Drosophila melanogaster: one gene and its partner. The protein of the gene in region 1 interacts with the protein of each later gene in a pairwise test. Each region holds a gene or a part of one and is shown on either strand. Other genes may lie near its edges.

Region 1 (16,594 bases):
TTGTTGGCTTGTTGGTGCGAGTTCTGGTTTCGGGCACTGAAATGCGTGCGACTCTCTAATAAGCAACAATACAGTCTGCCTCGCTAGTCAGCTAACTAAAGAGTAATTTGCATACGTTTGTCATTTTTGAAGGTGTTTTTGGCACTGTTCTCCGCTTTTGTGAAATATAGAGATTCATTTGTTCAAGAACTTTACTCGGAGATGTCTTTCCCATTGTTTTGAGATGATTGGAGCTTGCTGGCTTTCTTTCGCTTTGGCCAAGTTCAAAGCAATTGTACATTGTTAGTAAATGAGGTGCCGTAAAGTTTACGATCGGAACGTGAATTGAGTTCAGAACCAGTTTGGTTCTGGCTAAGTGCGCTATGATACACACTGCAGTTGTTGAGTACTTTAAGAAGTATTTTATAACTTTTGCTTCTGCCACGTTCATCTCGATCTTTGTTTATTTATAACTGGCGAACGCTTTTCTCTGCCCAAAACTGCAATCAAGAGTTCATTCAACTCATTGCTATGAACTGCTATCTACTGCATTGTACTTTTTGTTTTCCACTCCCATTGGGTGGCATACAAATTAAACCAGTTTCTAACACTTGCGCATTTTCCTGGTTGCTCAGTTCAGCGAGCTATGAACACGAATCGCGCAATGTACATACGTATAAAATGTATAGCAATAATTTCTGAACATGTCCAATTATCTGCCATTGAAAACCCATCAACAAAGGCAAATAGAACCCATTGAGAAGTATTTCAAAACCTATTTTGCAAAGGGAATTGGACGCGATTTAATTGAGGTTCATAAACGATTTATTTTTGTAGAAGCCAATCCTTAAAATGTTTTTCGTTATATTAATTTATGATTGCAACGCTTGTTCATTGGAGTCTTATCGGGATTTCTGGCATTTTAATTACCAGCGATTATTTTTTATCGGTTTATGAGTCATAAGCGAACTTACCATTTAAATACTTTAAGCTCAGGCTAAAAAAATATGTGTGCAGTGAGTTTGTTGCGATATTTTTCCAGCTGGTTGTTTATGATACAGTTGCACAATTGGCTTTGCTATTAAACTTTTACCAATGGCCAAATCAATTATTCATCATTATTCTAAAAATGAGTCGTTATCTCGTAGTTACAGTGCTGTTTCATCGCCTTTTGATAACTTTATGGTCATTGAACCATAAACTCATCGAATGAACATTTTATTTTTTCGACTTTCCGTGTTTTCGTTCAAAAATATTCACAAGTCTATGCTAATGACAAAAACCATCAGATGCGGAGGACCGAGGCAGAGGTTTGAAAATGACTCCATGCAGTTGATTCAGTCTGTCACAGTCCCCTCTGCGTTTTCCGTTTAATTTTCATCATCGACACCTCTCAGTAAGTAATTAAGAGTTGAAAGGCCCACCTCTACGTGAACTGCTAAAGTCACAAAGGCCGAACATCAAAGGGTAAGAGAATGGAGCGTCGTAAGTACGACGCTGCCTCCTCCACTCTTTCATTTGTTACTGCTATTTTAAGTACAGTCAGGCTTGATTAAACCATAACTTGAACTTAATAAACACAAAGAAGTAAAGAAATCATATTTGGTCATGTGCGCCAAAATATGAAAGGTTTGAACCCCTTTTCTAACGGGTCCAAACTAAGGATATGGTTGCTTTTTGAGTTTGTGCTGATGATGTTTCACTGTATATCTAACTGAAACCTGTTTTCTTCTCTTAGTACCGACAAAGCGGACGCCATAGCGGGAGACGGAGACGTGGGCCAGTCAAGATGACGCAGACCAAGCAGCCAGCAGGGCGGTCGTCCACCTCGGCCGGGGATTTTGTAGCCCCCATTAGCTCTACGAGTGCCTCCAAGTTCACGCCCTGCTCCGCCTCCGACCACAATGTCCTGCTGAACAACTTCCAGCTTAAGAAGAAGAGCTACAGGGTCCTGCTTCACGGACAGCAGTTGGTTTGGGAGCGTCTGCAGAAGATCAAGCAATCGCCCCAAGGAAACGAGGCCAAGGCACCGTTGCCGCCGGACTCGCCAGCTCAACCAGGCGGAATCTGCTCTTATGGACCACAAAGCCACGTGCTCCACCTGGACGATGTGGTTAGCATAAGGAGCGGGGACACCAAGGCGAGCTCCCTCAAACCGCCTTCGCCGCCAGGCTCGGAACGCAGTTCCGGATGCAGTGGCGATGTTGCTCAAGGGAAGCCTACCAGTCAATACCTGACCATCAACTATGCCATGAGGCTGAGCAAGTCCCAAACGGATTGCAATCGGTGGGAGCTAAGGAGACTCACCTTCTTCAACTCGGATCCCTACATAGTGAGGCAGTGGGACCAGGAGCTGCAAATCCGTCTGCATAGCTCCTCCCCCACCCGGATGCGAGTGCGCCGCCTTTTGGTCTTTATAAACCCCTATGGAGGTCGCAAGGCGGGAGCTCAGACCTATGAGCGCCATGTGAGACCTATTTTCCAGCTTGCCGGCGTAGACGCCACGTGTATCACCACTCAGAGGGCAAACCAAGTGAAGGACATACTTCTGAGCCATGATCTGGGAGTATACGATGCGGTTTGCTGTGTCGGAGGCGATGGCACCGTAGCAGAGGTCATCAACGGACTGATATTCCGTCAAATGCGAGAGTTGGGACTGGACGAACAGCGGCCACCATACATTCCAAGACCGGCTCTGCCAGTGGGTGTGATTCCCGCTGGCAGCACCGACACCATTGCGTATAGTATGCACGGCACGGCGGATGTGAGGACAGCGGCTATCCATGTGATTCTGGGCCAGCATCGGGGATTGGATGTGTGCAGTGTGAGCAATGGGCAGTCCCTGCTCAGATTCTGTGCCAGTGTCCTGAGCTACGGGTACCTGGGCGATGTGGCAGCCCAGAGCGAGAACTACCGCTGGATGGGACCGCGCCGGTACGAGTACAGTGGCGTCAAGGCCTTCCTGAATAATCGCGGCTATGACGCCGAACTGAGAATGTTAGAAGAGCCCGATCTTCTACTGACCACGCCGCTGGAGGACATTCCGCAGAGTCCGGATAGTGTGTGCTCGCTGGGAGAGTCAGTGCCATCCGTCTGCTATGCCAATTGCCAGCGCTGCAGCTTCGCCAGCAGCATACAGGAACAGCGATCCTCATTGTTCATCCAAGAGGAATCTAAAGAGGCAGAGCGCAATCAGCAGGTAGAAACAGAGGACTCTCATCTAGCCGCCAGTGAAGCAGCACTCCTGAGGCCTCGTCCGCGTCCAGGCAATCTTCGATTGCCCACTGGCTCCATTTCATCAATGAGGAACCTCGGCAACGATCAGTGGAAGGTTGTGCGGGGCAATTTCTTTATGATCTGCGGCGCGAACATAACCTGCGCCTGCGCCAGGAGTCCCAATGGCATCTCCCGTTACAGTCATCTGGGTGATGGTTGCCTGGACCTGATTCTCGTGAAAAAGACCTCACTGCTCAACAACGTGCGTTTTCTGCTCAACACGGCGGGCAGAAGTGGTGATATTGTGAGTACTAACTATTACAACTATTCAACTTTCACATCCAAAAGAACACCTTTCCTATAAGAGGCGTCCATTTCCTTTGAAATAACATTTCCATAACATTTTAACTGCATCTTTAATTGCCAAATCCCCTAAGCCTACAAGCTGAGCTTAGTGCTTTCTATCCTAAAAGCCAAAAACCCAAAACCGAACCCCATCTAGCTCGGATTGAAGCGAGGGAAATCTGTGACAGAAAGGTTATTTTACGAAGATCTACTAGCCGCTCTGGTGGCATCCATATAAAGTATATACTTGACCAGTTTCAACAATATAATGTTTTATCTAGTGAATGCGATGGTATCTTTTACTGTAAAAATATAAATGAAAAATAAAAGGATACAATTAAATTTTGTAGAAAACAATAAATATTTAAAAACATTTTCCCATTGCAGCGCAATTTGCCTTTTGTAGAGGTATATCGCACAAGGGAATTCCGGTTCAGAACTTTTTCTGCCAGCGAGGAGGACTACAGCTTGGCAGGGTCTTGTCAGCCGATTACACCGCCTGAAGAAATGACCGCCCACTCCTCCTCGACGGAGTTTTCCAGCTGGAACTGTGATGGAGAGGTGGTGACCGACCTGGACATAACCATGCGGTGAGTTGGTTGTACCTTTAACTTCAATAAATCGCTTATTAACCGTTCCGTATCTGGCAGATCGCATTGTCAGCTCATCGAGGTCTTCATGCGGGGTCCCCATTCCTACAGCAAGCCCCTCAAGGGCGGCACCACGCCCACAACCCCAGCTAGCTCTAGCGACAATGTTTACTGCTGCTGCAAGGACTAGAAGCTTTAACCCCATAGAATTAGCATCAATCGTTGGCCGTGACATGTAGCTCTTAGTTTTGCGTAGGGTATCCTTATTCGTATATGTATCGTGTTAAAGAGCGGGTCTCCCCGTCATTGTTTTTAGCATAGCTCAATAAAGCAACTGATATTATCGACTGTATTATGGCATCTGAAAGATGCGGCAGCAACCTAAACATTCCCCTCGGAAGCATTATGCACATACCTATATATTTACAAATTGTGTACTGGTATACTGGCAATAAAAATGTATTTATATGTCTTCAAATTTATAATTCTTTATTATTAATTTATATGATCAAATGTTATGATAAAAAACTTCGTTGGGTTCCCAAAAACAACAATCCGGAACATGTGCGTTTTTCCCACCAATATGAATAAAAGCAGAAGTTTTAGCAAAAGAACCTTATTCCGCTTAAAAAGCTATGGAGAATCGTGTTCGAAGGGAGAGAAGGGAGATATTGGATTTGTAGATTGACCAGGATAATTTCCAAACGTCATTTACATTTATTGCTCTCGATTCTTATACTTTAATGACCATTGAACGGCTTAAAATGAAGTAAAGCAAATGGTCATTATATATTAACTAAACATATATTTAGTTTCAAGGAGTAGTAAATACCGTAGAAGCAACGGGTATACATGAGTCTTAATCCTAATTGAGTGAAAAGTTCTTTAATTTCTTATCTTTCTTCTCCTTGATTTGTATTATCAACGAGGATTATAAAGACAAAAGTAAAAAAACAAATTCAGTATAGGCAGCGTGGTGTTAACTGTTTTACATTACTTTTAACATCAACATCTAATAAAATGTTAAAAAGTTCACAATTAAACTTCAAATTAATTTAATTTAACACATGTAAAACGGTGTGACCAAGCTAATAGTGGATTCATCTTTGGTATGTCTGGTATTTTTAGCTACCGGTTGCCGATACTGGTATTGCCGCCCGCCTAAAGTCTGTTCACACTGCGCTGACTCTTGATTTTATTTGTGCCCGTCATTCTCCGGCAGCGACAAACATTTCAAAGTCTCGCGTTATTCCAGTCTCCGAATAAATTAGCATGTTGAACAACTACAACAGCCTAGCGCAGCCCATGTGGCAGAACGGACCCGCTCCCGGCGAGTTCTACAACTTCACGGGCGGACAGACGCCGGTCCAGCAGCTACCGCGGGAGCTGACCACAATGGGACCCTATGGAACCAAGCACAGCACGTAGGAACTGCGGATATGTTTATATGCAGATGTACCACTTGTTTACACTCCTTTTACTATTCCGCAGTGCTTCCAGCACCACGGGCACTTCCGTGCTTGGCATTCGCTATGATTCAGGAGTGATGCTGGCCGCCGACACCCTGGTGTCTTACGGATCCATGGCCCGCTACCAAAACATTGAGCGCGTCTTTAAGGTCAACAAGAACATCCTGCTCGGCGGGAGCGGCGACTTCGCTGACATCCAGTCCATCAAGCGCAACATCGACCAGAAGATGATCGAGGACCAGTGCTGCGACGACAACATCGAGATGAAGCCCAAGTCCTTGGCCAGTTGGATGACCCGTGTGCTCTACAACCGTCGTTCGCGGATGAACCCCCTCTACATTGACGTGGTTGTCGGCGGCGTGGACAACGAGGGGACTCCGTACCTGGCCAACGTGGATCTCCGTGGACGATCCTACGAGGACTACGTGGTGGCCACTGGTTTTGCCCGCCATTTGGCCGTTCCGCTGGTCCGTGAGAAGAAGCCCAAGGACAGGGACTTTACCGCCGTAGAAGCTTCCGAACTGGTAAGGAATTTCGAACTCTGATGGGGGGACTCTTCATTATTTAACTACCCTACCATTTTCTTATATTCTAGATCCGCACATGCATGGAGGTGCTTTACTACCGCGATACTCGTAATATTTCCCAATACACTGTGGGCGTGTGCAGCGTCAACGGATGCGGCGTGGAGGGGCCCTTCCAAGTTAACGAAAACTGGACATTCGCCGAAACCATAAAGGGATACTAGAGCCTCCGATTCTGAATGAACTTAGTTTAGGTCTAGCTCGGCGGTTTTGCATTAAAAAAAAACACTTGTCTAAGGATATGTGGTTACATGATTTATTAAAAATAAATGTGGCTGAAAATAATACGTTTAAAGTTATGGTTATTGTGTGATAGAAACTATCTTCGAGTTATTCTTTCGTTAATCTCTACTGATGGAATCAAAAAGTAGGCGTCAAACTAAGAAGCCCAAGGGAGTTTCCAAATCTAACTTGGACTCACCATTACGGTCTTACGTTCCTTATTTTCCCAAATTATAACCATCAATTATCATTAAAAGTTTTATTTTAGTGGATTTGTTGGTTATTCCTCCCGGCATTCAACTTATTAATTAATATGCAAACACTCCTGACAAACATATTTTGGTTTATTTTAATTAACATAAAATCTGGCTAAATATACAGATAATCAATTTGATCCAAAGGGGAATTTCGCAAAGGATAACTGCTTGGAATACGTGTCTTAAGTCGCCCATGCGCCTCCTAATCTCCGCCAGCTGCAAACCGAACCCCTTGTTAGTTTAGCATGGTATGCCTGTCGTAGATGTGGCGTCTCTGCTCGCGCACCTGCCGCTTCCACTTGTCCTGCTGGTGGCCCACACGATTGAGGACATTGGCTCTGGCACTGAGCTCCTGGTTGTTGACGGCTGGCAGGGGCGGCGTTGGTTCATCCTGGTTAGAAAAGGGTGGAAAAATGTGGAATTAGTCGAGGTGATCCAAGATCTGGCCGTGTTAGTTACTGTCTTAATGAAGTGACGGTGTGGGTTAGAAAGTCAACAAAATCTATAACGCAAAATGAAACAAAGGTGGTTGTGGAAATTAAAATCTATTCAAAAGAGTGGTGCTTCTTTATTGCCAACTAGTTGAGCCGCTTCGGCATCAACATCGTCATCTTCATCATCTTCGCCTTGGGCTGTAACTAGGAGGCTATACTGAATGCCCTTGTATCTAGAAAGCTTGTTATGTACATCTTCGTTGGTGTGCTCCTGGTAGTTCGCCTTCACTCGCTTGTTCAGCAACGGGTCCAGGCACATCAGGAAGAGCATGTATATTACTAAAATGGAGATGATCCAAATCACAATAATGACCACGACCTGGATGGGGGAGAGAGCTGGTTAAGTACGGACGGCTTTTGAGCACTCGAATTGACTCACCTTTATCAGCGTCGTATTTCTCGCCACATGGGAGCACTTGCACTCGGCGCATATGGGCAGCTCCTTGCCATTGGCATCCAAACGGGGCAGCAGGGCACCGGCACAGACGCTGAAATGGTAACGTGTAGCAGGTTGTTAAGAACTCCAACCTAACAGAATCACAAATTAAGCTCATTGATACCAAGATGCCTTATACATTTAGTAGCTGAAAAGTGAATACATTTGTGCAATACATGAACTATGATTCTTTGAAGCCTACGCAAACAACGTAAATTGAATTTAAAGTAGTAGAATCCAGTGGGACGAAAGGGATTGCAGCTTTAAAACTGCTCAAATGGACTAGACTTTAAGTTTCCAGATGCGGCAATTTCTGCCAGTGCAGTGCCACTTACCACTCAGTTGTGCTGCTGGAATTGGAAGAATTTTTGCCTGGAGCAGCGAGCACAGGCTGGCCGATGACCTTGGCCGGAGGGGCGGCAGTGGGAGCTGAAACTTGCTTGGCTAGTGGAGCTGCAGCCGCTGGAGCTGCAGGTGCAGGCACAGGAGCAGGTTGAGCATTGCTGTTGTTGTTGCTGTTGGTGCCGATCGCTGGGAATGTCTGCGCCGCAGTCTCAGCCTTTGTTGATTGTTTGAGGGGGAAATGAAAGCGGATTAGTGGGGCAGTCACGGGATGTGGCCAGTCATCATACCCATGTCACGCCAACCAAATAACATATCACCAGTAGCACCGCGTAGACGAACAGGCGCTTGTGTGCCATTAATTTTTCTTTAATTTCAATTTTCCTCAGTTTTCTTGCCTTTTATTGGAGAAAATTCCCTTGCAATTTCGCAGAGTGACCGTACTTGTCTGGTGCACAGAAAATACCAACAAATTGTCGCTCATCGAACTAGTTCCTTTTGGTGCAATTAGTTTTTAGGCTAATTATTAATAACTAATTATTTCCTTCACGATATAACGTTCATTTAATTCTAAAACAATCAAGAAATAAGTTTCTAGGCGTATCAATAAATCTGTGACGTCAAATTCGTAATCTGCTCTCTGAAAAGACTAATTATATTTTTCCTTTATTCAACATTTATTATATACATTAAGCTATTTTCCGTTAATGGAATAAGTTACAGCAATATGGAGTTTGTTATAGTATTATGTTTATTTTTTTCGGTGAGTCCATAATTTGGATTTTACCGCAGCCTGGTCACACCAGCACCGTCAAAAATAGCAATTGTTTGCGTGTGCAACGCTGATTTCAACCGTAATTGCCGGTACAGATTGACTGACTTAGGTCCACGGACTAGGATACGATAACTAGAACAGGACACGATGCAGCACATACTACTTCTTACAGGACTGGCGCTGGTAGGCAGCATTTCCAGGGGAGCCGGTAAGTGGCGACCTGAAACAAAGTCGCGTCTATGTGGTCTTCTCTGATTGGCCGCCCCTCTTTCTGAACCTTCCGTGGCCATAGTTAATGCTTATCTTATATTCTATCTTGACCCTGCTGAACACAGCCACCGAATCCAACGTGGTCACCTGCGGCTCCATCCTGAAGCTGCTCAACTCGGACTACGCCTTCCGCCTGCACTCCCACGACGTCAAGTACGGATCTGGTTCCGGGCAGCAGTCGGTGACGGGCGTGGAGCAGAAGGAGGACGTGAACAGCCACTGGGTGATCAAGGCGCAGACCGGCGAGCTTTGTGAAAGGGGCGAGCCCATCGCCTGCGGATCCACCGTGCGACTGGAGCACCTGTCCACCAAGAAGAACCTGCACTCGCACCACTTTTCGTCGCCGCTCTCAGGCGAGCAGGAGGTGTCCGCGTACGGAACGGATGGACTCGGCGACACCGGCGACCACTGGGAGGTGGTCTGCTCCAACGAGAACTGGATGCGCAGTGCCCACGTTAGGCTGCGCCACATCGACACCGGCATGTACCTGGGCATGTCCGGCCGCTCCTATGGCAGACCCATCTCCGGCCAAATGGAAATCGTTGGCGTCCACAAGCCGCAGCACGGAACGCGCTGGACCACGGCGGAGGGCCTCTTTATCGTGCCCAAGGAGAAGAGCTCAACGCACGACGAGTACGCCCACTCGGAGCTGTAGTGCTCCCTAAGGACCTCGACTGCTGCAGTTTCATACTACTATTAGTTCTGTAATTTATAACTTAGTTGAATTTTTATTGAAGACCCCAAAAGCAAACCATCAAATTAAAATTATTTAAACTCAGGGTACTTCGAAACTTTCAGATTGCTTTCATCGAAAGTTATGTATTCTATGTATGTATTATGTATTCTATCTAGAAAGTGCCTTGCATAAAGGCAGTCGTAAGAACCACTTAGCTTAAATGCATTGCAACAAATGGGGGCGTCTATAGAGCCCTTTTTAAGGTAGTGAAACCTCAGTTGCAATCTAACTTTTCTAAATTTTTCTAGAACTTTGATTGATTGTCTACTTAGTCAGTTGCAGGCACACAAATGCTTTTTTATTTTTATGTAACCTTTTATATTTTAAACGGGTATTTTGAGGCAATAGTACTCTTTCTGTTGGCATTACTGCAGTTAATACAGATGTATCTATTCCATGTAGTGCTGAAAGACATGCGTAGGTTACCAGGTGCTAATAGCGTGTTCGTGTCACTTTTCTACTACTCATTGATGATTAAGACTGATTGCATTTGGCGGAAAATGTCGATATCTTTGAACTCCAACAGAAGGTATCCCATGCCGGATTGACAGCCCTTTAGCTTGAAGCTAAAGCGGGAAGTATCCTTGCAGATGCAGCCGTAGGGCGTCACTCGCATTTCGCGAAAGGTGCTCCCCATTCCTTCGGATGTTTTTGTTTGCATGCATAAAACAATGGGGCTTATTCCGACCATACAAGCTATGTATATACATTTTGCCATTGCTCGCGGTTTCCGCTCCCTTGCTGCCCCGATATCGTCACGTCCATTATCTGCTCGTCTGTTTTGTGTTTCTTTTGTTTGGGCCATTGTCAACGCTTTGTCTGCTCATCCTCCGGGCCATGTCCTCATCCTCCGCTGCCTCCGCCTCCTTCGCATCCCCGTAATCCCAACTGATTGTGGACCCAGTAAGGTCAAAGTGTTAGCTGATCTAACCCAGCGCACAGTCGTTTATAGATTCTCATAATCGGGTTGTCCTTGTAACCATTTTGCACAAATAAGAAATGGAAACAAGGATACTCGTTCTACTAGTCTGATGAGCGATGTTGTCCCCAGCAGGAAATCTTAGCAAGATCCACCATCTGAAGATAACCCTCAACTCCGTAATTTCATGCTTTACGATGCAAATACTGGAAGTATCAAGCTTTGAATCTTGTGTCAACTATTCCTGATTGGAAATTCTGTACAGCAATTATTATAGACTTTCAATAAATTGTCATAAATAGTATATGGAATATGGATAGCACATAGCTGTCCACGATGTCATATTACCAGAACATAGTATCGGAGAGTATAAAACACTTTAGTTGTCGATTACCATCTGAGCATGTTAAACTTTGTATAGTGAACCAAATGTTTTTCCACGGCTTAGTATAAAAGTCTTCTTCATTTTGCTTATATTGCTACAGAAATGAACGTCTTAACATTATATATAATCCTTTAAAATTGATCAATTATCGCATAATTTAATGCAATATAGTGGGCTTATGTGTTTAATGAAATCGGCAATGCTGCCACCTGCTGTGGCAACATACCATTTAATATCACGTCAATTATCCCTTACAGGTGTTGATAACTTCCGTTCTGCGCGTTTATTGATTTACCCTTAACGTGTTAACGCCAAACTCACTCATACGCACACCCATACATACATATGTATAAGGATGTGTTCCTGCTCGCAGGACTTTCCCTCCCCGACAACCGGATTCCATTGTTAAGCGGTGGCCCATCCTTGTATTCATCGTATCCTTGTATTGTGCTTCCTATGTGACCAATAATAAAGAGAATATTTTGGAGCGAAGCTACACTATTAAAAATTTTCATTAGACTTAGTGTAGAAAACTGTATAGATCGGGATAGATATAGCGAAATAAGCTCATAAGCCAACTAATCAAGTATTTCCTAATCCAATTGCGAAACTATTCGGCATTTAATACTGAAAATAAAACTCAAATCTCTTTCTCTGCACGCATAAATGCCCAAGTGTTTTAGCAATCCTACGATAATATATATTATACATATAAAAGGGAAACGTTTTCCCTTATCGATTTGTCTTAATCGACAGCGGGCAAAGTTTAAAGCGCTTAAAAGTGGGAAAGGACTCGTTGCTTGAGTGACTGACAGATTGACACAAAATGTTTGAATGTTGCGATGTTTGTTTGTTTGCGAGTGTGACGCCTGCCCCTCTGCCGCACAATTCCAAACGAAAAGTACGTTGTGTATACGCACGAGTGGCTGGAAAGCGTAAGCAAAACGCCCTGCATACTAACCGGCGCACCCTGACCTACGTCGTGGCGAAATATCTCAAAGTTACTTGGAGTACGATTAGAAAGCTATCCACATGTTTTAATTTTCGAAAATAGAGTAGGTTTAACTAGAAGCTTTCAAGACACTTAGTCACTGACTAATATATGATAATAGTATAAACAAACGTACAAACGTTCTATGTTAATTGATACAAAACTTTTTTCTTTTCTACAAAATTATAAATACATATAGTAATATAAGTATATTATAGAAAATATGAATCAAAACAATATCAATTGTTATCCCCTTTTATTAGTTCTTAAATGTTTAAACTCATAGATCGTCTTCAGCAAGCATACAACAATTTGCTCTGATTGCAACTATAGGATATTAGTTGATTGATCGATACAAATTTTACAGCGATCATGACGAAAAGATATCAAAGTCAAGCCCTTTTGGCCGACGAATTAAATGGCTAGTATATATGTGTATGTTAAGTAGACTTAGGATCCTCTCTGCTTTCTGCTTAATTCGCTAATTCTATTGTGAATAATTAGCATTTCCTGCCATTGGCAAAAAGCCAGAATTGTCGACGTGAAAATAGCCAGGTGTGTCCGCTCAGCTTTGCCACACGCCCTTTAAGCCTCCTCTCCATCCCTCGCCCCCTTTTCGCCTGTCTGTCTCTCTGTTGTCGTCTCCAGTGGCCGTTATCGCTGGCGTTGCGCATTCGCCCCGTTGCTCCTGGTCCGCCCCTACCTCCCTCTCGCTCACTCTCACTCGTGTCGCCTCCTACGCACTTAACATTGAAAACCGAAAACAAGCCCCCAAGTGGCCAGAAAGGCCTGCCATCCGCTAAAAAGAAGAACATAAGCCGTCTCTCTGCGCCCGCGCACTTCGCAAGTTCACGGAAAGAGGCGAGCCAGAGAGCCTTAAATTGTGAATAGTGAAAGTTTGATGGCAACAACAATCGTTCCTAAGTTTTGAAGTTCACAGCGAGCCTTTTAGACACGACAGCCGCCCCTAACAGTATGCAACACACTTTTACAGAGATTGTTGGAAAAGGCGAAAAAATGGGACACACGTTACGAACAGCGAGGATGTTTTTGTTGTCCATCGTCGTTTTAAAGTAGTATAACTTTATAAGTTAGCCATGGAAAATATTCAGAAATTCAAATAAATATGTAAACTAAAATATATATATACAATAATCTGTGTCAAGCTAATTTATTTGGCTCTTTTATGTGCTATTTTTTTGCCGTCTTAAGCATTTAACATTTGTAGGTGAGTTCAAAAAAATAATAGACACTTTTTGTTACAATTACCGATTGCTCATGAATTTGAGTCAAATATTATAAAAATAATTTTAGTAAAGAAGCAGAGGCTCTGTTAAAAGCGCCGGACTAAAATAAATGTTTGCCGTGAAAGAGCGAAAAAGAGAGAGCTGGTCGCTCTCTCTTTTGGCCATGTATTTCGGCCCTGTTGGCTGGAGCGACGTAAATACCGTTAGCACAGTACATCGTAGACAGTTGAGCGTGCAAGTTTGGGCAACCAGAAGCGCCCGCCGATTCTATCAGAAAGGCCAACAAATACAAATCAAAACAGAGAAAAAAGAGCAAAGAATTTTAAGACCGAGGTTTTTTTCCAAAAAACAAAAACCAAAATGGCAGCCCAATAAACTCGAAAAACGCTTAGTAACGAATACAGTATTTTAGTTTTGGCCAGTTCGCACAGTTTTTTCGGTTCCCCAGCTGTGTGTTACATAAATCTCAGTGATTGTGTGAGTGTGCGAGAGAGAGTGCTCATGTGTGTGTGTGTGTGTGCGACTAACAGCGACAGCAGTTAAGAAAATATAAAAAGCTGCTAAAAATTATAGAAAAGCAACTACCCGAATTCGATCTATCCTTTGTGTGCTTAGTCAATTGGGCCCGAGCCCAAAAGCTGTTTCGGTGTCAATTACGAGAAAGTTACTACCAAAAGTATATAACGCATACGCAGCGGTGTCTGAGATCCAAGCACTCAGAAAGCAGCCAAGCAAGCAACCAGTCGAAGCAATGTAAGCCGAATAAACTTCAAAATCTTGTTTATTTTCTCCAATTTACAGAAGAAGCGAAAGTAAAATGTCTAGAAGTTCTCATTTGCATACTTAATCACTGGGTTAATGGCTTCCACCGCACTTTATAGAAATCCATCTGTTTTTGGTCCTGACCTCGACCAACGGACTGCCATTGAAACCTGAACCGCATCGTCTGTTCACTTTTAGCGAGTTTCTGCCATCAGCTGCAAAATGAGTAACAATTTCCCAGCGCTACAATTTCCACAACATTTATCGATTATCGCCGCACACCCACCCAGCCAGCAACTTACCGCCACTTCCAATTTTCTTTTGGTCAAGTCAATTGCTTGCAAAATTTAATAACCGTACACTTGGTGTTTTGCGTTCTGTTTTGTGCCCCAACTTTGTTAATTTCTTTTTGGCCCTTTCTTCGGCTCCCCCGTTTTATTGCTCTTTTCTTTGAGCGCCGCCCACGCAGCTGCTTGTTATTTTCCCCCTTTTCGTGTATTTTCGCCCTTCGCCTGCCACTCCCACTTGCCTCTCGGCAACTCTGGCTCCGCTCCTTGCCACCTTTGTGACCCGAAATGGCGAATATCACCATGTCGAGGCTCTGGATTGAATATCTTATTGTCGATGTGAAAATGGTATCCAAAAAGAGTTTGATTGATTTGTTGAGGGCTCCCAAGACGATTATTATCCGTCAATGCAAGGAATAGGTGAGGAATAAGGACCACTTCTAAAGAAAGATCCTTTTACCAATCAGTTTCTTAGTTGATTTTTTAAAATGATATGTAACAAAGGTATTTAAATATAATAAGGAAACTAAATTTAAAAAATTTACGAATAATACAAAGTCTTATATCCCTAATTTTTGTACAATACGAAACGATAGTGAACGCTTATTTCGGTTTCCGCGATTATCAGATACCTTTTAGTCGGCTAGCGGGAGCGCAAGGGAGAAGTTTTCACATTTTAATAAAAGAAAATGACAATTCATTTTAATCTATAGATTCAAATTAATTTCACCACTTTTGGCTTTTCAACTTAAGAGCGTTGAAGGTATGCAATAAAATGTTTTCTCATTTGCAATAATATTTATTCTTTGAATTTTCAAGCAGCTTGAAATGATTGATGTCTGAAAAAAGACATTGTTGTTATATATTTTTCATGTGCATTTTCCTCCCGTCCGTTTTTCCGCTGCACACTTTGTTGGTGCCCATTGTTATTACGTATACTGTTTCTGCGTCTAAGCAGAACGTGCTTTGTTGACCGCCCACGACGACGACGAAGACAAAGTGTCCGTCATTTCCAGCGGTGGCTTTCGTCCTGTCATTGTCCTTGTTGTTCCTCTACTGCTGCAGGACTTCAGCCTGAAGTATCTTAGCCATTTTCCGGTCAGGCATCGCCATTTGACCGGTCTCGATGGGGAAAGTGGAGAAATTAGCTCGAGTCTTGCTCCAGTTGGGGCTGGTGCAGTGTCATTATATAACGAAATTGGCTGTACTTCATCCGGATTTCTGTGTGGAAATGATCTTTTGGTGTATTAAATTCATTTCATCGCCCAGCAAGTTGACATTTTGAATAAATCGATGTATGTATGTAAAGTATTGCTGGTGGTGGTCAAAGCGATGCAGTGCGGTGCTTTTCGTGTTTGCTTGGGGTTTCCACATGCACATTAAGCGAAATTGAAAGCCATTTGCACTTAGTGCAGACATTGCTGAGTGCTTTCAATGGGAATAGATCGGGCTTTGATATAGAAAGAAGTGAGTTTATTAAAGCCAAGAGTTTCCGGAATTGAAAACACAGGTGATCATATGCAAACAGGTCTGTCTTTTCAATTGCTTGCTTTAATTTGCTTTAGGACTCGTCTGACTTCAAGAAGCCATATTGCCACACCTGAATGTCGTTGACTGGCTCATAAAAACAACTAGTGTACTTATTTTATTCAGGCCAAAATTAGCCTTTGCGTTGTGGAAGTGGGCCGGAAGGTCTGAGTTTGTTGACATTGTAGAGAAGAAATTGTGCTCATGCTACAAGGATTTAAGAAATTTTTTTTTTTTTGCTTGACCTTCCTTTTGAAAAGGAAATCAACATACAACATATGTACATACTTAAATATGCTTTTAACTAATTGGTTACTACATTTTATGCTTACAATATTTTATTTAAAGTAATAAGTACATAGCATAGATTATTGATGTTTACAAAAATAGTGGGGAGCTAAGTTCATCTAATACTATCTCTTGTAGTAAAAACCTGCTCCCTAGATCTACGCTTTGTATTAAAAGATAGAAATGTCCAAATTGCTTGTTCTGCGAGCCGGAGTCCATGTAGTCAGTTCCTACTGTATTTGCTCGATGGCGAAAGCCGATAATCAATGGACGCATGGAAGTGGGCAGGCTAGCAGCAGCAGCAGCGGAAAGCCCAGAGCAGTTAACAGCCTAGGGAAAACCATTTAAGTTAACATGCGCAGTCCCCCTACATTTTATTTTAGTACAAAGGGGGAGTGGCAGGGGGTGTGACAGAGAGCGGAAAAGAGAGCGAGCACAACAACAAAGTGCAGCTCAGCTGTTTGCTGGCCGTG
Region 2 (16,457 bases), about 11 Mb from region 1:
TCCTGCAAGGAATGCCCATTAAAATGTCAACATTTGTGTGCTTGTGCAGGATTTATTCTGTGGAATTTTTAAATCCTCTTAAATGTAAATGTAAATTGTGGCGCATAACAAGTCCAAAAATGCCACATCAAAAAGGGAGATAAACAAAATAACAAGAAATATTAACGCACTTGGAGTAAGCAAACGAGAACCTTTATAAAGATTTACGTGACAAAACCAACGAGGACTGCGTTTGTGCGTGTAAGTTATTGGTGGTAAGGCAATAAAACTTTCATTTTCAGACATTATATCGAAAAGTAACCGTCAATTGGCATCAACAAGGAGCATTGACATGAAATGTAACACTGCCAAAGGGGGTTAGACCCTCCGCTTGGCGAATGGGAAGGATGAGTCTACAACGATTGCCGAGGTGCTATAAAAGTCCCAGCGACGAACGACAGGCGCTTCATTCGCGTCCTGGATGCCAGTTAGAAAGCTTCCTGGATGCCAGTTAGAAAGCTTCCCATTCGCGATACACACATACAGTCCAAGCCGAGGGACGTCATTCCAGCATCTACAGCATCCTCCTCGTGCGCTTTCGTCCAATAAAAATCAAAGTAATAGCAATGGAAAACCTATTCTCCGAGTGCTATACGTGCGTTTAGTGCCTTGGGAACTTTAGCCAGCATATGTGCTCCTTCATATTGTGTGGGAATCTATTGAATTTTCAGTTGTAAATTTCAAGTTGTAAATAAGTTAGCAGAGTAATAGTGCATATTTAAAGTGAATCACAAGCAACGCGATTAAGGAAATTTAAAAACTTACAAGGCGGCGATTGAATATTAAACGGAGACTTTAAAGTGAAACTTAACCACGGGGACCTGTTGAGCAAAGCAAGTGAAATTTAAAGAAAAGTGTTGAGAAGTGGAATAAATTGAACTACTAAGAGAGATTCTTTTAAAGTCATGTTTTTAATTTGTTTAAATTTTATATGTAATATACTCAAAAAAAAAGGTTAAATTTATTTTATATGCAGATGGTAAATTAATTCTGATAGACACTTCTTATAACTTCTTATAATATATAATTTCTTATAATATATAACTTCTTATAAAGGAACAATCGAACAATAAATTGAGACAATGTATCTCGTTGTTTTTATTGTTTTATCATGTTTTCTTGTTATACATTTAATCGTCCATTGTTTTCCATTTTTTCAGAAACATAAACCATGTATGGAATGCTGTATGAGAGTGTGCAGCACTACGTGCAGGAGGAGTATGGCGTGGACATTTGGCGGAAGGTGTGTCACATCATCGACTGCAAGCACAATAGCTTCAAGACGCACCAGATCTATCCGGACAAGCTGATGCCGGATATCGCCGAGGCTTTGTCCGCCTGCACGGGCGAGTCCTTCGACTTCTGCATGAACTTCTTCGGGCGCTGTTTTGTGCGATTCTTCAGCAACTTCGGCTACGACAAGATGATCCGCTCCACCGGGCGATACTTCTGCGACTTCCTGCAGTCCATCGACAACATTCACTTGATTATGCGTTTCACCTATCCCAAGATGAAGTCGCCCAGCATGCAGTTGACCAATATGGATGATAACGGAGCTGTGATCCTATACAGAAGCAGTCGCACTGGAATGTCCAAGTACCTAATTGGGCAGATGACCGAGGTGGCCCGCGAGTTTTACGGCCTGGAGATCAAGGCTTACGTGATCGAGAGCCAGAATGACATCAGTGGAGGCACTGCTGGTCCCATCAAGCTCACGGATGGTCCCTTGACCGTGATTGTGAAGTATCGTCTGGACTTTGATAACCGGGAGTACATGGCCAAGCGCGTCAATACGGAGGCCCATCCCTCACAGCTCAAAATGCCCACCGTGAAACTGGATGTGTTCCTCGATCTTTTTCCCTTCACATTTGTGCTGAACCACGACATGAAGATCACGCATGCTGGTGAGAAGATCGTTGAGACCTGGATTATGCACAATCCAGGGGCCAATCCAAAGAGCTTCATTGGCACCCACGTAATGGACTTGTTCCAATGCCGTCGTCCGAAAGACACCACTATCGACTGGGATACCCTGATCCAGATGAGAGCCGTGCTCTTTGAGTTCGAGTTGATTCGCACGGGTCACAATCGCGCTGCCTACGATGCTGTCTTAAACATGGACTTTGAGAACTATGACGAGATGGACTTAAACGAAGCCCAAACTATGGCGCTGGCCAAGGCTCAGGAGTTCAGTGAATCCCATCCGGTGGATGATGATGAATCTGCGAGAGAGGATGAGATCGACCCTGCCACTGGGGAACGTCGATCTTCCCAGGGCTTGAGGTCCATCCTTTTGAAGGGACAGATGTTCTACATCAAAGATGTGGACTCGCTGATCTTCCTGTGCAGTCCTCTAATCGAAAATCTCGATGAGCTGCATGGAATCGGTCTCTATTTGAACGATCTTAATCCACATGGACTGAGTAGAGAGCTTGTGATGGCGGGATGGCAGCACTGCTCCAAGCTGGAGATCATGTTTGAAAAGGAGGAGCAGCGATCGGATGAGCTGGAAAAATCGCTGGAGCTGGCAGATTCCTGGAAGCGGCAGGGGGATGAGCTGCTCTACTCCATGATTCCGCGGCCCATTGCCGAAAGAATGCGACTCAGCGAAGAACAGGTTTGCCAGAGTTTCGAGGAAGTGTCCGTCATCTTCCTCGAGGTGATGAACGTCTATGATGAAGGATTGAACAGCATTCAGGGAGCTATGCAGACGGTGAACACTTTGAACAAAGTATTTTCCGCTCTGGATGAGGAGATCATTTCCCCATTCGTTTACAAAGTGGAGACCGTGGGCATGGTTTACATGGCTGTTTCGGGTGCTCCTGATGTGAATCCCCTGCACGCCGAACACGCCTGCGATTTGGCCTTAAGGGTGATGAAAAAGTTCAAGGCTCACGATATGGGGGACGTGGCTATTCGAGTTGGCATCAATTCGGGACCTGTGGTGGCTGGCGTTGTGGGCCAAAAGGTTCCTCGATACTGTCTGTTTGGGGACACCGTTAACACCGCCTCGCGAATGGAGAGCAGCAGTGATCCCTGGAAGATCCAGCTATCGAAGTACACCGGCGATAAAGTGCGCCAAGTGGGCTACAAAGTGGAGTCGCGTGGTACGGTCCAGGTCAAAGGCAAGGGCGACATGGAGACCTACTGGCTGCTGGAGGGTCCCGAGGGCTAGGAATAGAAAAATATTAAATGTATCTTTATTTATAGCACCATGTTCTGATTGTACGGCACCTGTGGCTCTCTTAATTTGTTGCAATAAAAGAGAATTTAGCTCTGCTCCTCTGACTTTTTGTGAAAGTATAAATAATACCTATTTCCTGCTGGTTTTGGGACAAACTTAATTTGTTTAATAATACCAGCTATCTATGTAGACAATAGACTCTTATTGAATACACCCTTTATAAGCTCAAGTTCTTATAATATCCTCCATCCTGCCTTTTCAATTACCAACTCCTGCCATTTCCCGCAGACAACCCTCATTTCGGAAAATCCATTTTTAATAACTTTTATGGGCGGTTTGCGTGTCACTTTGCACACCATCATCTCCAACCCACGACGGACCATCGTAAGCCCATTCAAACATACAGTAACCTCCGTTCGCCTCTTTCTTATATAAATTAAATTAAGTCACTCTGCGTGTCCTTAGCTCGAACGCCTGGACGTTGGACACTTAATTCCGGTGCAATATTGAAAATAACTACACTGAACAAATAATAAGACTTTGAAAATGGTTAAAAAAAAATAAAAATAAGAATTTTGAAAATATTCTTGTATTTTCTTAGTTTAATAAAAAAATATTTTTTGTCACAAAAGTTGATATCAGAACTTTTGTGTGTTGAGGGCCATCGTCATTAGTTTTTACTCCGTTAAGAGCTGTTTTTGTTTGATTATATTGAGTTATTTTCTTCGGGACCCAATGTACATAAATATAATATTTTTGTAGTTATGCAACGCGTGCCTGTCGCATCTGTAATTGATGGCTTTTTGAGTGGTAGAAGTATCTCCTTCTTTTATTCAGCCGGGCATATTATCGTCCTCTTAGTCGAATAATGGTCTGTCCATAAAATTGTCAACGTTTATTTAATAGACTAGCCCTAAAATCCGTTTCGTTTAAGTGGGACAAAGGCTTTTTGTTCGATGCTGTGAAATCCCTTTTAAATTGCTTTAAAACAACACATCAAATATGTGCAGGATTCAGGCTAACATGTGTATGTACATCTTTTTGTATATATAACTGCGTGAAAATGGAAAAGCATTAAGCACAGAGCCACAAAACCATTCCTCCATCGGGGAAATGGCAAACGGCCAAAGCGAAAAACTCTGTTACAATGATACATTTGACAGACGGTTTTCGATACTTCAGGGCTTGGGATATACATTCAAAGTACTCGAGTATTTCTAAATTGTAAGAAATGGTTCAGAAAATTAGAACAGCGTTTTATACAGAGAATACAATTGGAAAGAAATTATCTAAAGGAAACTAAAAGTTTGAAATTTTAACATTTGTATAAGCCACATATCTATTATAACTGACTAACCTAGTCGTCAGTCTATTACTAGGTGTTATTCAGCCCTGGTAAAGACCCAAAGGACAATACTTTCCCAGGACACCGCACACATATATATGTACATCGATGTGGGGGAGTGAGCCCATAAAAGGAAATGAACGGGGAGAAAAATGACTCCTTCGGTTGTGTGACAATGTTTTACTGTTTCGGAAGGAGACAAAGTGGCAATTGTGGCAAAGAGCATTGACTGCCGATGATGATCACGATGGTCAAACAGAGAAGTGCGTGTCGAAGCGCAGGCACGTAGGTCCTAAGTGGGCCGGAAATACAGCTCCAACTGCAACTTGGCTAGTGGGTGGGCTATAAAAGGCCTGACCGCCACAGGGGCACGCTTCAGTCGACCGACATCGTCCCGGCGAAAAGGGAAAGCTCCAGGGGAAACCGACGGTACCGACGGAACCGACGGATGCGAAAGAGCCGACAGACTCACGAAGCTCGTCTGTCAGAGGAAATCATGAAGCAAAAGCAAATCAGGCAGCCAGAAGCCAAGGAAGCAGCGACAGGCGGCAAAACAAATTTAGTGTAACAATAGCAACTGCCGACGACGCAACACGGAGTACGGAAAAGTGAGAGTTTGCCGTGGAGTGCGCGTATATATATGTACCCCGACTTTACGCATCCGGGGATGCTGTGCGTGTGCAGGCGTATATGCCTTCCTTAAATTATAAATAAGCGACTGGCAAATGCCGCGTGGATATAATTAAAACTCTTTCTGAGGCACAGACAAACGACAAGCGGCTCCGATGCTGGAGAACTTCATGCGATTCATCTAGTGGATTGGAACGAGCCGGAAAGCAATATAAGGTAGCAGGGATTGCTGGGGATATAATAAGCTAATTTCACGGTTCACTAATCAAAGAGATATATCGAGAGAAATAAGGGGATTTTCATACATCCTTAAGAAGGCAGTTCTTTAAAGGATTAGGAAGCAATATGAGAAGCAGAGGAACTACATCATTTAAGTTAAAACTTAAAGTTAAAGTTGCAACTGAGTTGGCCACAAATTATTACACTATAGTCCATTTAACTTTAGCATCCAATCCATTATTTATCAATTTATATAGATTAGGGTTCTCCCTGCCACTTTCAAGCTACCATAAATTACGAGCGATTAAATCTACGTATTGTTAACTTGAGTATAAAGGAGCAGAAGTTAAGCATTGCCTTTATGTTCTTTTTGACTACGTGGATTCCCTGACCATTAATCAAACGTTAGCATTTTGAAACAGCATTTTTATCCACTTTTTACGACCTTCGGCTTGTCGGAAATTTGCATGTTTTTTGTCAAAATTAAATACACTAAACTCAGGAAAGATGTTCGAGAATTTGTGGCTCAGTTAGTTAGTCTGAGTAGAAAAAAAATGAAAAACTGGCGTTGCCACCAGCGAATTACCGGCAATAGGAAACGGAAATAAGTTGAGCACAATGAGCTATGTTCCTTTCGCGAAGAACGTGACAGATTTGAAAGACCTTGATGTGGGAAATAGGAGGATTTCCACCGCGTGTCTGCCACATGAACTCAAATTAAACTGTCGGGGCAATAAATCAAATGCTACGGAGGAAAAGCATTGGGTGTTTTTGAAGGCTAGATAAGAGGATATACTCTGACGGCTTAAACATACACCAAATGTATGTCACCTTACATTAATTACGTGTTTAATGGATTTTAAATGCATGTCTCTAAAAATAGGAAACAGATTTCACGCATAAGAACAGCGACTGAATACAATTTAATTTTCACTCTAAGTAGTTACTCAAGACTATATCAGCGCAAGACTTTTTTATGTAGCATCCTAGCCTACTACCAATCACTTAAGTTGTGTACGAGTTTGTTGGCCTAATCCCTGACCCAACGCAACGAAATTGTCCTAAATCCTCCGGGGTACGAACACAGTTTACCTAATTACCAGCTCAGAGCGATGGAAAAACTTTGGCTAACCACACCCCTAAATATGTGACTGCCAACTTTGTTTCGTTACAGGATAAACTTTTACGAAGGCAATTTCGACGATAGGCAGGACTTCACAGGACCAAGGACATTCACATCCTGCCCCATCATGTACGGAATGCTGTACGAGAGCGTGCAGCACTATATCCAGCAGGAGTATGGCATGGAGACCTGGCGAAAGGTCTGCCAGATTGTCGACTGCAAGCATCAGAGCTTCAAGACACATCAGATCTATCCGGACAAGCTGATGCCGGACTTTGCGGCAGCCCTGTCCGCCAGCACGGGCGAGTCCTTCGACTTCTGCATGAACTTCTTCGGGCGCTGTTTTGTGCGATTCTTCAGCAACTTCGGCTACGACAAGATGATCCGCTCCACAGGGCGATACTTCTGCGACTTCCTGCAGTCCATCGACAACATTCACGTGCAGATGCGTTTCACCTATCCCAAGATGAAGTCGCCCAGCATGCAGTTGACCAACATGGATGACGATGGGGCTGTGATCCTGTACCGCAGCGGCCGAACTGGCATGTCCAAGTACCTGATTGGCCAGATGACCGAGGTGGCCAAGGAGTTCTACGGCCTAGACATGACTGCCTATGTCCTGGAGAGCCAAAATGACATATGCGGTGGCACAGCCGGTCCCATCAAGCTTACGGAGGGTCCTCTGACCGTGATTGTCAAGTATCGGCTGGACTTCGATAATCGCGATTATATGGCCAAGCGGGTCAATGTCATCGCGCATCCTTCGCAGCTGAAGATGCCGTCGGTGGACCTGAATGTGTTCCTCGAGCTGTTTCCCTTCACCATTGTGCTGGATCACGACATGAAAATCACACTTGCGGGCGAGAAGATTGTCGAGACGTGGATTCTGCATAATCCTGGAGTGAACCCAAAGACCTTTATTGGCAGTCACATATTGGAGCGGTTCAAGTGCCGTCGTCCCAAGGACACTCAGATCCAATGGGAGACCATTCTGCAAATGCGTACAGTTCTCTTCGAGTTTGAGCTCATCCGTACGGGTCACAATCGTGCCGCCTATGATGCGGCCTTGAACTTTGACTTTGAAAACTTTGATGAAGCCAGCAGCCTGAACGAGGCGCAGGCCATGGCTTTGGCCAGTGCCAAGGAGTTTAGTGCGGAGAACGCCAAGGAAGAGGCAGCAGCGGCAGCCACCTCCAAGGACGAAATCGATCCCGCCACGGGACAGAGACGCCATTCGGTGGGCCTCCGATCTATCCTGTTGAAGGGACAAATGTTCTATATCAAAGATGTGGACTCGCTGATCTTCCTGTGCAGTCCTCTAATCGAAAATCTCGATGAGCTGCATGGAATCGGTCTCTATTTGAACGATCTTAATCCGCATGGACTGAGTAGAGAGCTTGTGATGGCGGGATGGCAGCACTGCTCCAAGCTGGAGATAATGTTTGAGAAGGAGGAGCAGCGATCGGATGAGCTGGAAAAGTCGCTGGAACTGGCAGATTCCTGGAAGCGGCAGGGAGATGAGCTACTGTATTCCATGATACCGCGACCCATTGCCGAGCGAATGAGAAAGAGCGAGGAGCACGTGTGTCAGAGTTTCGAGGAGGTATCCGTCATTTTCATCGAGGTAATGAATATCTATGACAGTGGGTCCAACAACATCCAGGATGCCATGCAGGCGGTGACCACCTTAAACAAAGTGTTTTCGGCATTGGACGAAGAGATCATTTCCCCGTTTGTTTACAAAGTGGAGACCGTGGGCATGGTTTACATGGCTGTTTCGGGTGCTCCTGATGTGAATCCCCTGCATGCCGAACACGCCTGCGATTTGGCCTTAAGGGTGATGAAGAAGGTCAAAGCCCATGCTCTTCCCGGGGTGGCTATACGGGTGGGCATTAACTCGGGACCCGTCGTCGCCGGCGTGGTTGGGATGAAGGTTCCTCGATACTGTCTCTTTGGAGACACCGTTAACACCGCCTCGCGAATGGAGAGCAGCAGCGATCCCTGGATGATCCAGCTGTCCAACTATACTGCGCTGAAGGTGCAAAAGGTGGGCTATAAGGTTGAAGCGCGGGGATTTGTCAAGGTCAAGGGCAAGGGCGAGATGGAGACCTACTGGCTTTTGGAGGGACCAGAGTAGAACTGGAGACTTGTTTGTCTTGGAAAATCCAGGAATATCACCACTATGGTATTGAAATATAAAAAACATATTTTGAGACAGAAAATCTTGTAACCCTTTGGAAATAATCAGGCTCGAAAACCTCTTATATCTAATGTATCTAATAACTTTTTGGTAATAGTTAACGAACTTTTAATCCCCTGTAAAGTATATGTGGATCACTATAAAAATAAATTCAAGACACATTGTATCTAGAAATATTGTTTTCGTGGGAGTGGCGCGAAACCAACCTGAAATCTGACTAAGATCTTCATAAGCGTGTTTCGATAATAGGTAAGTAATCGAAGCTATCGAAATCGGTTCCAGCATTGCCTTGATCAGCTGTTTGAATTTTATAGCTTGGAAGATAATTTTCAAGCTTATGCTTTCTCAGTAAGGATTAAGGATGCTTCGATTCAATTTAATCGTGGCAGTTTGCGAGAATTTCGGAATCGGCATCAGAGGCGATCTACCATGGCGCATTAAGTAAGTTGGTAACAAGGATTGAACCGCAGCTAAAGCTTTTGTACCATCAGATCTGAGCTGAAGTACTTCAGCCGCACCACCAAGCGAACAAGTGATCCCACCAAGCAAAATGCCGTGGTAATGGGCAGGAAAACCTACTTCGGAGTGCCGGAAAGCAAGAGGCCTCTTCCCGATCGGCTGAACATAGTGCTGAGCACCACACTTCAGGAAAGTGATCTGCCCAAGGGAGTACTATTGTGCCCCAATCTCGAGACGGCCATGAAGATCCTTGAGGAGCAGAACGAAGTGGAGAACATTTGGATTGTGGGCGGTAGTGGAGTCTACGAGGAGGCCATGGCCTCGCCAAGGTGTCACCGGCTGTACATTACCAAAATAATGCAGAAGTTCGATTGCGACACCTTTTTCCCCGCGATCCCTGACAGCTTTCGAGAGGTCGCGCCCGATTCCGACATGCCACTGGGTGTGCAGGAGGAGAATGGCATTAAATTCGAGTACAAGATTTTGGAGAAACACTCATAATAAAATAATACACTGATTTATTTGCCTTGCGCATCTTCTACTCCCTTGGCCGCCAGCATCAGCTCGTATAGTTGGACTACTTGGTCGTCTTTCAACATTTCTACAGTCTTGGGGTCAATCTCTTCGCCCAGCTCTCCCTTGGGCTTGCCCCGAATCCCTAGTTGTTGGGTGATTGTGGACGCATATCGCTGCAATGGAAGATTTGCTTAGTATGGCGCCTTTTTGTTTATTACGTAAAACTTACGGCCCACTCTGTCATAAAGAGCTGTGCCTCCATGGGATTGCACTTGAGGTGTCGCCGGAACTCGTCCCGCACATAGTTATCGCCCAGAGCACGAAGTTCCGCTGGAAGTCCTACGGAGTACAGAAGTTTAGTTGAAATGCATGCAATTTATAGTAATAGGGAATTTTTCATCTTACCTCTGTGCAGTCGCAAGATCGTTTTGTACAGCAGTCGGACCCTCTGAGGGTGGGTCAGTTGGCTCATCAAAATTCTGGACATCCTGAGTTCATATCATATAACATACTAATACTATACTATTTAGCAGCCGGCTAAAAACTAAATACGAGCGAATAACAACTGTTTTGTCGCAGCCAGTGTTGGCTAACGTCAAATTGAGTTGGCAGGTGGCAACGTATTAAAAGTTTGGCGCGCATTTGAATTGTCACCTTTAAAAGTTCAATGCTATTTTCATATTATATTTAAGTTAGGCACTTCGAATTGAACCACACTTCCGCAAACCAAATAATGTAAAAAGAAAATGTTTTTTTCAAATGGTTTTTTTTTATCAATCCCCAAGCGATTTCAAGCATTTTAAAACTGCAGGTCTTTTTATATAATGATTTATTTGTGGCATGGTTTGTATATATATAATCATCACATGTGCAGTGTAGGTTCAATCTGTCGTGGATTCATCCCTTGGGGGTAAATTATAAATAAAAGAACATCTCGTATGGAAAATGAGCTCTGTTTCAGAAAACAAACCAATAAATGACATACACACACGCTCTGCACCAACTTTGGCTAACTATTGCACGCCTTTCTCTCACTACTATACGCCTAATTACACCAAGCACCAAACAGAAGGTGGCGGAGGGTACACAACATTGTTGTCATCGTCGTCGTTTTGAACAGAAGAACGTTTTAACAATCAAGTTTTCTAGTTTTGCTATTGCGGCGCGGCAGCAACAGGCGCCGCTCGATTCGCTGGCTCCTCATCCTGTCCATCAGCCGCAATCTCTTCCGGTAGCAGGGGCTGACCCTCTCCGCCCCAAGGAAATCCGCCAGGTCGATCCTCAGCAGCCGCCTGGAAGTTGCGTTCGATGTGCTCATTGAAGAGACGTTTCCTAAGGACAACAAGTCGTTATTGCAAAAGTTATATCCCAATTCAAAGTAAACTCACAAAAAGTAGGGGGTTTTGATCAGTCTGTAGCCGTTGGACAGTGTAGGATAGACGTCCTCCAGCACGTAGTAGATGTGGCCAACACCCATGCCGATGACATCCACCCACACGGTGTTTCCCAGAATCATGGAGCAGCAGAGGAGCACCCACGGAAGGTACGGCGCCTGGAAGTTAAGCACCCCGAAGAAATTCATTGGCACCAGTGGATTGCGTCGTGACCACACATAGACCAGCATTAATGTGAAGGCCTGGCCCAGGAACAACAGGTTGACGAAGATTCCGAAGAAGGTCATTAGCACGCCGCCAAAGATGAACATCATGACAAAGTCGGAGCTGCGTCCGCGGAAAGATCCGTCCTCCAACATTCGACAATATCGATATGTAAACACCATATTGAAAAAGAAACTGATGCCTATTGTGCCAAAGTACAGGAATGTGGTGGCCAAGCGCCAGATCTGGAACTTGCGCACAATCAGCGTGGGATTGAAGTAGAGCTGCAGCGGCGACACCAGGTCCAGGTGCTTAAAAGTTGGCAAAAAATATAATCGAAGATAATACACGTACACGTCATCCGCGATTTAGAACGCACTACGGGATACACTTACCACCGCCAAGGTGGTCAGCACGCAGACCGTGGTGTAGGCTCGTGTGACCACCGGGATCTCCAGGTAGAACTGCCGCAGGGCATTCATGGCGGCTCCTCCTCCAACGTTGGACTCAAAGTGTGCAGCTTGGCAAGTGGGTTGCGATTGTATCCTTTGGACTCTTCGCTTCTTCACTGTTTATTCACCTACAACCAGCGGCGGACTATCTCTTTTTGGTAGTCCTCTCACCGGATGTTGTGCACTCCAGGATTGAGACGTGTTAATGGATAGGGAACAGCGCTCGGGCGATGGAAAATAAATGGAACGCTAGCTTTTATTTTTATGACCAAGGTTAGTGATGGTACAAATACTAGTGACACTGGCGCCAGATATCGATAAGCCGTAATCGTGACACGAAACTTTAAATTAATTTTATTTATGTGGTTAACAGAAGGAAGAACTTAAGATTGTGTCGTCTATCGAAGAGTAGTTCATCCAATATTTGAATGGAAATAATATTTATAATAACAGATAAGTTCAATATGATTTTCACTTTGAAATCCATAAGCTACTATATGATCAGAATGAATTTCTATACTATTATATATTGTATTTCCATATCTTCAATGGGTTTATACTTAAACTGGAAATTAATCAAATTTTCTTTTGAGTTTTTCTACTGCTCAATTGATTTTCCCGGATTTCAAATATATCACTTTCTTTTTCAGAGTTGGGGGCTATATTAATTGTAACATCTCTCAAATTTATTGCACTTGTTTCTTAATATCTAAAGTCTATTCTAGGTTGACTACACTAAAAATTGCACTGCGTTTTGTCTAGCTAAAAAATGAACTAAAACAATGAATTAGATTTGCTAAATTCGAGCGGGCGGCGAAAGGACTGCTCCAGGTTGTGCAGCCGCTGCTCCAGGTCATTCATCGAGTTGCGGAGGGCGTGGCCCCGGGGACGCAGTGAAATCTGCGGTGACTGCTGCATGAGGTCGTCCTTGACCCCGGAGAAGGAGTGGCGCACGCAGGAGCGCTTCTCGAACCGCGTGTTCTGGTAGTGGGGATGGTGACTGGGGTGCTGCTGGTGCTGGCGGTGCTCACAATTGGCACTGCGACAGTTATGCGCCACCAGTGGCTCGTCCGTCTTCAGAGAGTCCTCATAGGTGTCACTGTTGCAATGAGATTTCAAATGTTAAGAAGGCAATCCGAAATAAAGCACACTCTTCTACCCACCTGCTGTCCGTATTTGGCTGGCGCAGCTCCAAGTGGGCCTTCGCATGTCTGGGGCATAAAACTTCCGTGTTGTTGCCGCGCTTAGAGCCTCCGTGCTGAAAGGAATCCGGCGAGGTCTCGTACAGCTCGCGGCTGCTCAGGAACTCCACACCAGAGTCCTGGCCCGTCGAGTGAAGTGAGAACAGCGAGGTTTCGTAATTGTTACTGTTGTGATGATAGGTTGCAGTTTAGTATGTTAAGTCTAGTTCATAACAATTGTGCCAAATTTGAAACCATATTAAATATAATCTATAGACTTACAGATTGTTAACGGGCTGACAGGCATTGTACTTCAGTACGAACGGAGTGCTCCCGACGCCCACAGCTCCATCGCCCCCACTCGTCACCGCCGCAGCCTTGGCAATGGACTTGGGAAGAGGAACGTCTATGTACTCGCGCTTTTGCTGTCGCTGTTGCCTGTTTCGGGGATGATGGCAATTAGTGTCCAGAATGGAAACACGTTTGACTAGACGCGGTCTTGACCACGGCCATTCACTCACTCGTTCAGGTACTGATGATGCTGCTGCTGTGTGGCCATCGCCTGCTGCTGGTGGTGATGGTGCAGCTGCTGCTCCAGTTTCTCGGTGGCGGTGGCCGTAGACTGCGTTTGGGCCGAGGAGCAGACGGACTCGGGCATGAAGGCACTGGTGGGTCGTTGGCTGCCCGTGCTGCCCTTGCTACAGCGCTGTGTGTGCCGCTGCTGCCGCTGACGGCGCTGCTTCTGGCCACGAGGAGATCCGATGCCAGCGATGGTATAGGTGAGACCGGCATCGGAGGCGGAGAAATCACGCTGAGACCAGAGACGTCTGCAAGAGACACGGGAAGAATTTGTAGTAGTTTTAGACGGCTCATATCAATCGTTTAAATCATCATTAAGCTCTAGTATAGTTACTTGTTTTCATTTTCAATATGTAAATTTATAGTTAAACCTGATCGTAGTTTCCTTTCAATATAACAACATAACTTCGAACATATTATTTATTTTTCTCTGTGCAGGATGAGCTGAGCTGATGAGATGACATCCCATTTGATTGGCTTTCCCATTTGGGATGTAGTTGCAGCGATGTCACACGATCTTCATCTAATTGCCTCAAGTTGCTATTGCTGCATTGTTGCATTTGATGTTGTGTTTGTTGCTTTTTACCGTTATAATTTAATCGGACAGGAAAGGCCCAATGCCAGCCGGTTTATGCAGACTCAGTGGCATCAAGCAACTTGGCCACGATCATGGCCATTAGCAGTAGCAGCAGCAGCAGCAGCAGCAGCAGCAACAAACACACCAACAGCAGCAGCGGCAGCAACAACAACGTTTGCAATTGACTTAAGATTTATTATCGGGCCTTTAGCTTAGGCTAAAACTATGGCTAACATGAAATGCATCTATGAGCTACATTTGAGCGCCCAGTAAGCAGTCTTTCGGTTGCAGTTGCAGTTGCACTTGCATGACACTCGTGCACTCGTCATTCATACCGTTTTTGGCGCATGCATACGTAGCAGCAGGCGGCTATCAGTGCACCCAGGCTGATCAGCGCAAGCAGAACCACCGTCACAAACTCCAATCCTCCCATGAAACTGGACGCGGAGGCGTGTGCAGGTCGGGCCAACTGCCCAAACTCGGCCAGCTCGAGGATGCGGGGCATGGGCTTGCCGCCGTCGAGTTTCTGCTGCTGCAGTTGCAGTGCGTCCAGTTGGAGGCCAGCCAGGGCGCTGAAAGAAGCAATTCAAGGCCATTAATTCGCATGGCAGTTCTGGGTCAATCGATTTTAGATGCCGCCCGGGGCCGGGAAGGGAGTCGGTGTGGGGAATGGGAGAAAACTTACTCCTGCAGTTGCTCCATTTCCATAATGGAATTCGTGTGCGGATCGACGGCATAGATATAGGCATTGGTGCTGCAAATGGAGAGGGTAGAGAACCTGTTAGGTGATGACACTGCAGTGTTTTGATGGCAACTAATGGCCAATTATGTTATGCAATGCGGTCAAAAGCTGCACATAATAATCAAATATGAGAGTTTAAACCTATACCTATAACTTGTATCTGTATCTGGTACTTAAAATAATTGGTTAGAAAGCATGAACGGATTGTTGGCAAGTTATCGATCCATTAATCTATATCTAACCATCTATCTAAATTAACATTTAAATTGGTGGTGATTTTATAAAGACGTTTATTGGTAGTAAATCTTCTTATGGTCTAAGCACCATGCCTAAATACTGCTTTTACACTGGCAGACTATCATTACATGGGGTATTGTTTTATTAAGACTACAATCGATATATAGTTACTTACGCAGGCTCTAGCCCTCCAGAATACGGCTCCAATAGTCTGACACGTACATCCTTGCCAATGGCATCGCTTAGTGCCTCCATTAGGCCCTCAATGCGACGCTCCACCTCGACAGGCATTCCGGCCACCACCAGACGCACCTGCTTGGCCTCATTGATGATATAGACGAACACGTTGACGATGCCGCTTCTGCCATCGTCTGCACCCATTCGATCTGTGGCCTTCACATCGAATCCGTAGATGTGTTCGGTGCGGGAAAGTTCTCCAAGCAGGCGAATATTGCCCGATAGCTCGTCGATGCCAAACAGGCGAGCGGGCTCGTTTAGAAGTCGATAGCGTATCTCGGCGTTTAGCCCCTCATCCAGATCGTTGGCCTCCACTCGGGTCACGGGGTATCCAAAGCTGGCACTTTGCGGTAGAACCGCCACAATCGGTTGCCCATTGCCTCGGAACTTGGGTGCATTATCGTTTTCATCCGCAATGTGGACCAAAATTCGACACTCGTTTAGCGACAGACCCTCTATTCGTTCGTCTACCACTGGGTACGAGACCCTGGCGTAGTTCCTAGCTTCCCGACTCAATCGATCCGCTCGAATCCTAAGTTGGTATCGGGATATGTGCTCCCGATCGAAGGGCTTGAGGGCATATAAAAGCATATTCTTGGCATCATATTCAAATGGCGGATGAGCATCCGTTTCATCCAAGCCCTCCTCCAACCACAAAGACCAGCGATAGTTCTCGGGATTAAGACCAGCGCTTAGGTTCAAGCGCATCACCTCAATGGGTGCTTCATTGTTCTCCGTGAGCTTAACCTCATAATAAGCGTGCTGGAATACGGTGACATTTGCTGGAGGTTCTGGTTTGGGAGTCGATTTTGGAGGATCCGTAACTGCCTGCCCCTGGAGGTTCACAATTACAATGGCTGTCGCGGATAAAGCTGGACTGCCCACATCTGAGGCAATCACAGACACATTCAGATGCTCATAGTCGTTATAGCCATTTATACGTGATATTGTGGAGATGGTACCATCCCGGGAATCGATTTGGAAGAGTGGTGCTTGCATTTCCTGATGACGAATGGAGTACAAAACCAGTCCATTGCCATTACCCACATTATCCTTATCGATGGCCGTGAGTTGCCTCACAAATGTGCCAGGCTGAGTACTTCGATCCAGATATGCCTTATACACCGGCAACATCAACG

The links.
Region 2: the proteins of CG11999 (region 1) and Dhfr interact in a two-hybrid assay, tested with the Drosophila melanogaster proteins (one large-scale study listed by BioGRID).

Annotation. Positions count from the first base shown.
Region 1 is NT_033777.3:5,346,884-5,363,477, reverse strand, and holds CG11999 (uncharacterized protein), read left to right. Parts: upstream 1-8,730; 5' UTR 8,731-8,856; coding exon 8,857-8,917; intron 8,918-9,044; coding exon 9,045-9,634; 3' UTR 9,635-9,761; downstream 9,762-16,594. Other genes in the region: Cerk (ceramide kinase), read left to right, coding at 1,769-3,499, 3,928-4,130, 4,191-4,320; Prosbeta7 (proteasome beta7 subunit), read left to right, coding at 5,403-5,554, 5,622-6,123, 6,195-6,347; CG1161 (uncharacterized protein), read right to left, coding at 6,898-7,053, 7,350-7,475, 7,536-7,644, 7,928-8,151, 8,225-8,293.
Region 2 is NT_033777.3:16,472,160-16,488,616, forward strand, and holds Dhfr (dihydrofolate reductase), read left to right. Parts: upstream 1-9,007; 5' UTR 9,008-9,101; coding exon 9,102-9,181; intron 9,182-9,231; coding exon 9,232-9,700; 3' UTR 9,701-9,717; downstream 9,718-16,457. Other genes in the region: Gyc89Da (guanylyl cyclase at 89Da), read left to right, coding at 1,211-3,214; Gyc89Db (guanylyl cyclase at 89Db), read left to right, coding at 6,668-8,677; Sdhaf3 (succinate dehydrogenase assembly factor 3), read right to left, coding at 9,718-9,888, 9,945-10,054, 10,121-10,202; Der-2 (Derlin-2), read right to left, coding at 10,870-11,047, 11,104-11,624, 11,709-11,795; Cad89D (cadherin 89D), read right to left, coding at 12,540-12,864, 12,929-13,132, 13,229-13,384, 13,468-13,773, 14,438-14,674, 14,788-14,856, 15,257-16,457. UniProt on the Drosophila melanogaster protein: By interacting with vestigial (vg), may control genes involved in DNA replication. Key enzyme in folate metabolism. Catalyzes an essential reaction for de novo glycine and purine synthesis, and for DNA precursor synthesis.